Sus scrofa: one gene and its partner. The protein of the gene in region 1 purifies or fractionates together with the protein of each later gene. This does not show direct contact. Links are inferred from orthologs where the notes say so. Each region holds a gene or a part of one and is shown on either strand. Other genes may lie near its edges.

Region 1 (5,118 bases):
CGTTATCTCCTCCCTCGCTAGGATATCAGTCCCACCAGGACAGAATCTTTGATGTCTATCCACCAATGAGCCCCTATGCCTAGAACAAGACCGGGCACACAGTAGGTGTTCAACAAGTGTTTGCTAAATACATGAACTGATCACTTCAGGATGCTGATAAACAGGCAGGAGCATAGACTGTCACTGAGCTGTCCACCACCCTGTCCCCTCACTCTTCAGTCCTGCCTCCTCCAGGGAGCTCCTCTAAGCTAAGGGTCCTTCTGTCAAGACATGAAGATGGGATCCTGAGAAGTGAGGCAAAGAAGTACTACACACATGAGAGAAACACCTAATATCACATCTTCGCCAATGTACTCACTCAGCTGCATTTAGAAGCACCTACTATATACCAGGTGTGGTTCTACGATCTAGGAAGCCAGAAAGAAAGAGGAGCCCTACCCTGGCAGAGCTGACATTCTAGTGGGAAGAGAGGCAATAAGGTAAATACATAAGGTTGGAAGTGATGTTATTTGAAGAGAAACAAGCAGTTAAAGAGTGAAGGGGTGTAATTTTACACAGGTGGTCAAGGAAAGCTTAAGTAGGTGATATATGAGAAGGCACCTAAACTGAATGAAAAAAACGAGGGATATCTGACAGCTGAATGCTCTAAACAAGGGAACAACAAGTGCAAAGGACCTAAAACAAGGCTGTGTTTGGCATGCTCCTATGTATATAACTGTGTGGAACTCTGTGATACAATTGTCTCTGCTGGGTGCTTGTGCATTTAGAGTGCTATAAAATTGAGGTGAATCATGGGCCTGAGGTGGTACATTTACAGGGCAATGTAACAGTATGTCGTGTGTGTGTGTGTGTGTGTGTGTTGGGGGGAGAAATGGTATGATTGTATCAGAGTGTGTTCTGGTGTGTGTGCAAGGGAAAGGGTGTGGAGGCATGAATATGGGAAAGAGTATGTATGGGATACTTTGTGTCAGGATAGGATAGGGCAGGGAGCATGTGGGTGATGGGGATTCTGAAAGTGAAATATATGCAGAGATGCCATGTGTGCATGCATGCGTGTGTGTGTGTGTGTGTGTACGTGCCCAGCTGTGTGAGTGGGTGTATTATTGGAGGATGTTGTGGAGCTGTGTTCCGGCCCCAGAGGGAGAGAGAAAGCCCTGGAAATCTCAGTTCCTCCCTGCCCCTGGGTCTCCTGGCAACAGCACCACTTTGAAGTTACCAGGAGACAGAGTTGCCAGGGCAACAGGGGTATGAGTGGCAGCTCTGGGGAGAAATCTGGGTGAAGAGACACAACCACTGATCACTTGATCACTCACCTTGTTCCTCCTTCTCTCCCAGTTTCTCATCAATCCTACTTTCCTTTCTTCATTCATTCCTTTAAGGAGACTATATTGAGAATCTACAATGCCCTAGGCACTGTTCTGGGTGCTGGAGATACCAAAGTGAACATGACAAACAAGGTCCTGCTGTGGTTCTCCCTCAGTCTCCCAGCCCCCTGAATCTCTGCCTATTCTCTCCTGTGCCCCCTTTTTGTTGTTTGGTCCTGCCTCCCCCTGTACTACAAGCAGGACTCAAGAAGCCCCCAGGCCAGTGAGGAAGCCAGCTGAGACTCTTCTCACAGACACTAAGAGACAGCTGCTGATGTTTTGCACATGAATGTCCTCAAGCCGGCAGTCCCAGACACATTTGTGCTGGTATTCAGGTGCAGAGAGAAGCACATAGCTCATCCATCTCTCTTCTCCATTGTCATTGGGTGTTATCAGCAGAAACACACACAGACACGTGCCTATCACAATATTCCTCTGAGATACCATGAGCTACAATTTACAGGTAAAAAACTGAGGCTAAGAGACTTTAAACAATGTGTCAGTGATTAGGACCTGCTCCCTCCAACTCTCAACACTTGTATTGCCTGACTAGCAGAACGACTCACAATAGTAGTATTTGTGCTGCTTCGGCCAGCGGACTCACCAGGGAAGAGCCTTATCTCCCTCAAAGGCCTCCATCCCTTCCTCGGACTAGGTTATTTGCCGCTTCACCACCAGAGGAACTGGGAAACAGCGATCTACCTTTGATGAGCAGAGCCTCGAACCAATGGAGAAGCTAAGTACACTGTGGCCAATGAGATCTCGCCTGCGGCGGGATTAAGGGCAGGATCGGGCCACGGATTGGACAGACGTTTGCTGCGAATGGCGGAGACGCTGAGGCGGGTGCTAAACTCTGGCAGCGCGGCCGGCCCCGCGGAGGAGAGCACGGCTGAGGCCGGACCGCCTTTGCTGCTGCTTGGCGGTCCAGGCTCTGGAAAGACAGCACTGCTATTCGCGGCGGCCCTGGAGACGGCAGGAGAGGGCCAAGGCCCCGTACTCTTCCTCACCCGGAGGCCTCTGCAAAGCTTGCCCCGCGGGACCCGAGCAGCGCTGGAACCCCTGCGGTTACAGGTTGGGAAAAGCGGGACCAGAGGCGGACCAGCCACTAGCGGAGCGGTTGGGATTGAGTGACACGTAGACAGACCAATGGTGGAGACGAAGGAAAGCCAAGCCGGAGTGGCCATTATGGGATGGAGTCTGGAATGAGTCGGGGATGGGACCATACTAAGCTTTGTTAAGATTGAGTGAGAAACCATCGATGAGGGGGCGAAATTAGCAAAAGGCGGTACCCAAAGGGTTTGACTACAGTTGGTTTTTGGACAGCTGCCGTCAAATGATGGTGTCGGCCGCTTAGGGAAAGATTACCCTGCAGATTTGGCAGAAAGCTGTATCTTTCTTTTCTTTTTTGTCTTTTGAGGGCCTCACCCGCGGCATATGGAGGTTCCCAAGCCAGGGGTCTAATCGGAGCTGTTGCTGCCAGCCTACGCCACGGCCACAGCAACGCCAAATCCGAGCCGCGTCTGCGACCTACACCATAAACTCACGGCAACGCAGGATCCTTAACCTACTGAGGGAGGCCAGGGATGGAACCTGCAACCTCGTGGTTCCTAGTCGGATTCATTTCCGCTGCGCCACAGGCGGGAACTCCAGAAAGCTGTATCTTGTTCTCAACTAATACCAGGGAGTGAAGAATGCAGGATAAAAAGGTAGGGGGCGGAGGATGGCAAACAAGAATACTCGACCACTCTGAGCTGCCTCACTCTGGAACCAGCAGTTCCGGGAGTGAGAGCCTCGTCCAGGAGAGTATGCAGGGGACTAGGGCTGCTATAGCAGGGATCCTGGCTTCCTGTGCTGATTCTGGTCCTTTCCTTTTCTCCTCTCTCTAGAAAATCCGCTTCCAGTATCCACCCTCAACCCTTGAGCTCCTCCGGCTCCTGTGCTCTGCGCATGAGGCCAGGGGGGCAGCGCCCTCCCTCCTGCTGCTCGATGGCCTGGAGGAGTACCTAACAGAAGACCTTGGGCCCCAGGAAGCCGCCTACCTGGCCGCCCTGCTTGTGGACACAGCTGCCCACTTCAGCCACCAGGGTGGGCCTGGCCAGGGCTGTGGGCTCATTGTGGCTCTCCAGACCCAGGAGGAAGGAGACAGTGGGGATGCCCAGCCACTGGCGCTGCTCCAGAGGTATTTCCCTGCCCAGTGCTGGCTGCAGCCCAATGCATCAGGCCCAGGACAGCACTGCCTCCGAGCCTGCCTGGAGCCAGGCGGGCTGGAACCCAGGGCAGAGTGGTGGGTGACTTTCCAACCGGATGGAGAGATGACGGTCACACAGTGGCCCACCCAGGCTGGTGACACTGGCTCACACAAGGGTTCAAGCTCTGAAGGGCAGTCTTGAGCTTTGGTGTGTGACAACCTCTCTATGCCTAAGTTTCCCATGGCTGGAATACCTACCTCAGAGACATGCAGATTCAAAGACTTAAAGATTGTAAAGTGCTTTTTCTCTCATAAACATAGCATTTTCATGTACATATTGTGCCCAGTCAACAAATTGTTTAATTTTGCTGTTTTGAACTTTAAAAAGTTTCATGATAAATGTAATCTGAGACTTCTTTCTTCTCCCACTCAACATTGTTACTAAGATTCAGCCACATTTTTTGGTTCATTCCTTTTTTTCTACTGCATATAATTCCATGGGTGACTATACTCCAGTTTATCCATCAGATTGACTATTTACTGCTCTTGACATTCTTGTACACATGTCCTGGTTTGTGTGTGCAAGGGTTTTTAGGATATATATCTAGAAGTGGAGTAGCTAGAGTGAAAGGTATACCTACGTTCAGCTTTCCTAGGTTTTTTTTTTTGGTTTTTTTTTTTTGGTCTTTTTGCTATTTCTTGGGCCGCTCCCGCGGCATATACAGGTTCCCAGGCTAGAGGTCAAATCGGAGCTGTAGCCGCCGGCCTACACCAGAGCCACAGCAACAGGGATCTGAGCCGAGTCTGCGACCTACACCACAGCTCACGGCAATGCTGGATCGTTAACCCACTGAGCAAGGGCAGGGACCGAACCCGCAACCTCATGGTTCCTGGTCGGATTCGTTAACCACTGTGCCATGACGGGAACTCCCAGCTTTCCTAGATTATGCCAAACTTTATTTATTTATTTGTCTTTTTAGTGCTGTACCTGCGGCATATGGAAGTTCCCAGAGTAGAGGTCAAATTGGAGCTGCAGCTGCAGGCCTGCACCACAGTCACAGCAACACCAGATCTGAGCTCTGTCTGGGACGTACACCAGAGCTCTTGCCAATGCTGGATCCTTAACCCACTGAGTATGGCCAGGGATCAAACCTGCATCCTTATGGATACTAGTCAGTTCTTAACCCGCTGAGCCACAACTGGAACTCCTATGTCGAACTTTTTAAAAGTGGCGAGACCAGAACTCCCATTGAGTCTCTTGATGACATTTGGTGTCATCACAGTGCTTTCTTAGAACTGGGCCTGATTGAAAATGAAGCCTTAGGAATGAATATTGCTATTAATAGTAGCAGAGACTAGCTAGTGGCTCATTAAACAGCTTTTCTCTTCTGGATGCACAGCTAAACTACATTTCCCAGCTGTCAATCGTTCTGGCGGTGATTGCATGACCATTTCTGACTGGTAGAATTTGTGAGGAAGAGATGGCCAACACCTCTAGGCTAGATCCCTAAAATAGCTCACAGAATCACCTACTGTCTTTGCTTGTTGGCTGACAGGATGCAGAGG
Region 2 (3,968 bases), on another chromosome or scaffold:
TGACATGGCCAAAGCTGGCATGTCTGTGTCTCCTTGGTGGGCACCTCACTGCCCTCAGCCTGGGTCTGGGCTGGGTGCCCGGCTGGCTTCTCCTGAACTGAGTGTGGTGGGAGGGGCACTGAATGTGTCCCAGGCTTGGCCAGGACAGGGGCCTATCTTTGCCCTTCTTGGGACCCAGACACATGCTGTGAGGGGTCCAGGCTGTGTGCCTGTCTGGTCAATGCCCAGGAAGGTCCCGCCCAGCCCAAAGGAGCCCAACAGCTGCCCGGGAACTGAAGGGCTTCCTGTGAATCCAGCCCAGCCTCCAGGGCACCAGCTGCTGCCCCGTGGATCCTCGCCCAGGCAGCAGGCCTGTGTGCAGAGTGTGGGGGAGCACTGGGCCTGGAGATGGCTTGTTCTGGAGCAGTACATGCCTGTATTGGTCTGGGACATGGACACTGCAGTGCTTGTCTTCCCGTCTATGAGACAGGCCTGGAGCCAACCCCCTTGCCTCCCCAATGTGGCCTGCAGGGAGCTAGCTCTGGCTTCCTTGGCAGCATGTTTGCATGAAGGAAGTTAGAGGATATGGCTGGAAAAGTGGGGAGTCCTCCTGCCTGGGCTCTTGTGACCAAGACATCAAGGTCATGGCCCCCTTGATCCTTCACCCAGCCCACAAGGTGCCTCACACAGTGGATACATAGCAGGAAGGAGATAGAGACGCTGGGTTGGGAAGGTGCCCACACAGGGCTGGAAGGGCTGCATGTGGCTGTGTTGTCTGTTAGGGCTGTACCTGCAGGTGTAGGCAGGGGACCTAGGCATGCTCCCACTGGGGGTACAAGCATGGAACTCTGACTTGAAAAAAATCCTCTTTTTAAAAAGTCAGATTTGGTAGCTATGGTTTTCAGTAATTACTGTTTATAAAGGAGATTAAGTTATAGTTTTATATTCGGGAGAGATGAAAACATGCACATGTGCTGGTCAAATGAAAGCGTGTGTGTGTGTGTTTGTGTGTGTACAAAATGTGCCTTTATTTTTAAAAGATGCAATGTATCTTCCTTTAACTTTTCCTTCTGTGAAGGCTAAGGAAAAAGACAGCACATTTCCTGTCCTTGTAATGTTACCCAGGAGCAGTGGCCTATATGACCACAGCTAGTTCCACTGCTTTCACATCTGGAGCTTGACCTTGTTAAGTGGAGGCATGAGACCAAATACTCCTGCGTCCTAATCAGAAGCTGCATGTTGTTCCCAGGAATGGAGTCGTGGTTCTCGTGGATTTTGGTGAGTGTACATTCTCACACTGAAAACTGGCAGAATCCAGACAAGCCTCATGGCCAGTGTCTCCACACAGGCCTCTCCTACACATGTGTCCGCGTCCTTTCTAAGAACCGCTGCATGGAGCCAGGGGTGGGGTGGGGGTCGGCTTGCATTCTGGTCAACTAGACTCGGCTCCCAGTGCACAGCCGCACAAGGGAACACTGAGTGGCCACCCAGGCCCCTCACCCAGAGCACACATGTACATACTTCATACACCCATGCACACACAGGTGCACACATGAGCACACACATGCCTTCTGAGCTCTTTAGGAGTAGGATGTAAGTGGCTAAGAAGTGTAATGTGTAGAAGGTATAGCCTGCCTCCATCAGAAGGGGCTGAATGAAATGAGGGTGTTCCTACCAGCACCCCCTCCCCTGTCTCCAGGTTCCTGAAGGGAACAGGTGGTTGAGGGCCACCCTTGTGGGAGCCTAGGACCCGCAGGTGTTCTGTGCGCCAACCCCAAGAGCTCAGCTAGGTCCTAGTCATAGGACCCAGCAGAGGAGAGCGAGGATGTGGGCCTGGGCTGGGCACCCGGACTTACCCCATCCTCACAGGCCGCAAACTTCAGGAGCGAAGAGATGCTGTCCTGCAGCAGCTGCAGTAACAGGAAGGGGCTGGGTCAGGACCCCGAAAACACCCCCAACCCGACCCGAGAACTGACATGTGGCTCCAAGCCACCAGCTTCCACCTCAATGCCTTAGGTCAGACAGGGTGACTGTGGTCCGTGGGTGAGTCCTTCCCCTTTTCCCAGGAAGAGAGCTGGGCCACACCTGCCAGCTCTTACCTTGACCCTCACTGTGCACTGGGGTCGAGAGGGGCAGTCCAGGAAGACTTGCAGGTGCCTTCTGAAGAGAGGTGAGGTGACCACGCGGGAGCAGGCCCCACAGGAGAAGGTGCGCCTACTGTTGGAAACAAGACCCAAAGAGAAGGCACAGAGCACAAGGGTCTGGCAGTGGACAGACACTTCCTACACTTGAGGGTCTGCCGAGACAGAGTGGAGCATTCACGTCCAGAAACCCAGGTCCTGAAGCAGGTCAGAAGCAGCCCAGGCTCAGCGGTCTGGCCGTGTGTGGAATGCCTGGAGGACAGAGGCACACGGGCAGGGAGCCTCATCCCAGCTGAGCAGGTGGCAAACAAGCCAGAAGGGCCAGATCAGGAAAACCTGCTTTAATCCTCAGTGTCTCTGCTCCTTCCCGCTTCCAAGTAAACCTGAGAGACACTCCTTCTGTCTCCAAGTGCAACCGGGTGTTGCCTTGTCCAGGCCTCAGACCACCCCCTCAGAGGCCTCAAGCAGCAGGAAAGTGATGACACACCCCAGTGTAAGCCGACAGTCACAGGGGAGCCAGATGGGGGCAGTGGTGCTGGGCAGGGAAGGGGGATCTGCTTGCAAATGACCCAGTGGGTCTCACGTTATGTTTGCTCTGAGTTCTTTTTCTCTTGCCTGATAATTAAGGAGCTGAGGAAACCTGGCTCTTCTTACTTTTAAGACAGGAGGTGGTGCGGGGCAGAGCCGAACCCCAGTTGTAAAGAGAGAAAACATGTTGTATGTGGCCTCCCTGCAGCTTGACCCTGCTCCCTGTGCACTGGGCCCCTGGCCCAAGGCACAAGGCCATCATGGAATCCCCAGCTGGCTGCTGCTGCCCTGGGGTCTCTCAGGCCAGCCCCCTGCCCCCATACCTGTCTTCTGGGCTCCGTTCCAGTCTCTCGCTGCCACACAGGTCACATACAGGCCATGAGAAGGCGGTGCTCTCATCCACAGCAACCACAGAGCCTGGGCCCACAGGAAGCAGAGCCAGGTTCAGAAGCGGCTCTGCCCCCCACCTCCCCAACTTCTCTTTACCCCTCAGGTCAAAGATGGTAACATGAGGTGCTCCAGGTTTGCTTCTCACTGAGTTTATATAAATGTTGCTAAACTTTTTATAATTCCCATTGCAAAAAATTACAACAAAGAGTAAGTTTTTTGTTTCTGTTTTTTTGGGCCATAGCATGCAACAGCTTTATGTGGGAATCTCAATTCCCAGACCAGAGATCAAATCCAGGCTGTAGTGGTAAAACTCCAAATCCTAATCACTAGACCACCAGGGAACTCCCAACAAAGAACAAGGGTTTTTTTTTTTTTTTTTTTTTTTTGTTCCACCCATGGCATGCAGTTCTCAGGCCAGGGATTGAATTTGTACCACAGCAGTGACAACGCCAAATTCTTAACCCATTGTGCCACATGGGAACTCCAAGAGGGAGGTTTTTGTTTGTTTGTTTTTTTGTTGCTATTTTAGGGCTGCACCCTTGGCATATGGAGGTTCCCAGGCTAGGGGTTGAAGTGGAGCTACAGCTGCCGGCCTACACCACAGCCACAGCAATACCAGATCTGAGCCGCGTCTGCAACCTACACCACAGCTCATGGCAATGCTGGATCCTTAACCCGCTGAGTGAGGCCAGGGATCGAACCTGCACCTCATGGTTCCTAGTCGGATTATTTCTGCTGTGCCACGACGGGAACTCCTAGCAAGAGCAAGTTTTAAAGCTTAGACATGTTACTACTTAACCAAATATTCTCATTTTTGGCCTTTTCCAACGTGCATGCACTGTTCCAAGCAGGCCATCACTGCACCATCTCATCCTGCCCTTAGGCTGCTGCATGCTGTCTACTGAGGTTCCCTCCACCACTCTCCAAACT

The links. Proteins that work in one complex are often made in the same cells at the same time.
Region 2: the proteins of SWSAP1 (region 1) and SPIDR purify together in Homo sapiens (co-immunoprecipitation; 3 studies listed by BioGRID and IntAct, with this or other methods). This does not show direct contact. The link is inferred for Sus scrofa from reciprocal best matches to the Homo sapiens genes SWSAP1 and SPIDR.

Annotation. Positions count from the first base shown.
Region 1 is NC_010444.4:70,058,022-70,063,139, forward strand, and holds SWSAP1 (ATPase SWSAP1), read left to right. Parts: upstream 1-2,164; 5' UTR 2,165-2,186; coding exon 2,187-2,435; intron 2,436-3,250; coding exon 3,251-3,754; 3' UTR 3,755-3,968; downstream 3,969-5,118. UniProt on the Homo sapiens protein: ATPase which is preferentially stimulated by single-stranded DNA and is involved in homologous recombination repair (HRR). Has a DNA-binding activity which is independent of its ATPase activity.
Region 2 is NC_010446.5:79,876,279-79,880,246, forward strand, and holds part of SPIDR (DNA repair-scaffolding protein), read right to left. Parts: intron 3,066-3,968; coding exon 2,972-3,065; intron 2,197-2,971; coding exon 2,079-2,196; intron 1,890-2,078; coding exon 1,836-1,889; intron 1-1,835. UniProt on the Homo sapiens protein: Plays a role in DNA double-strand break (DBS) repair via homologous recombination (HR).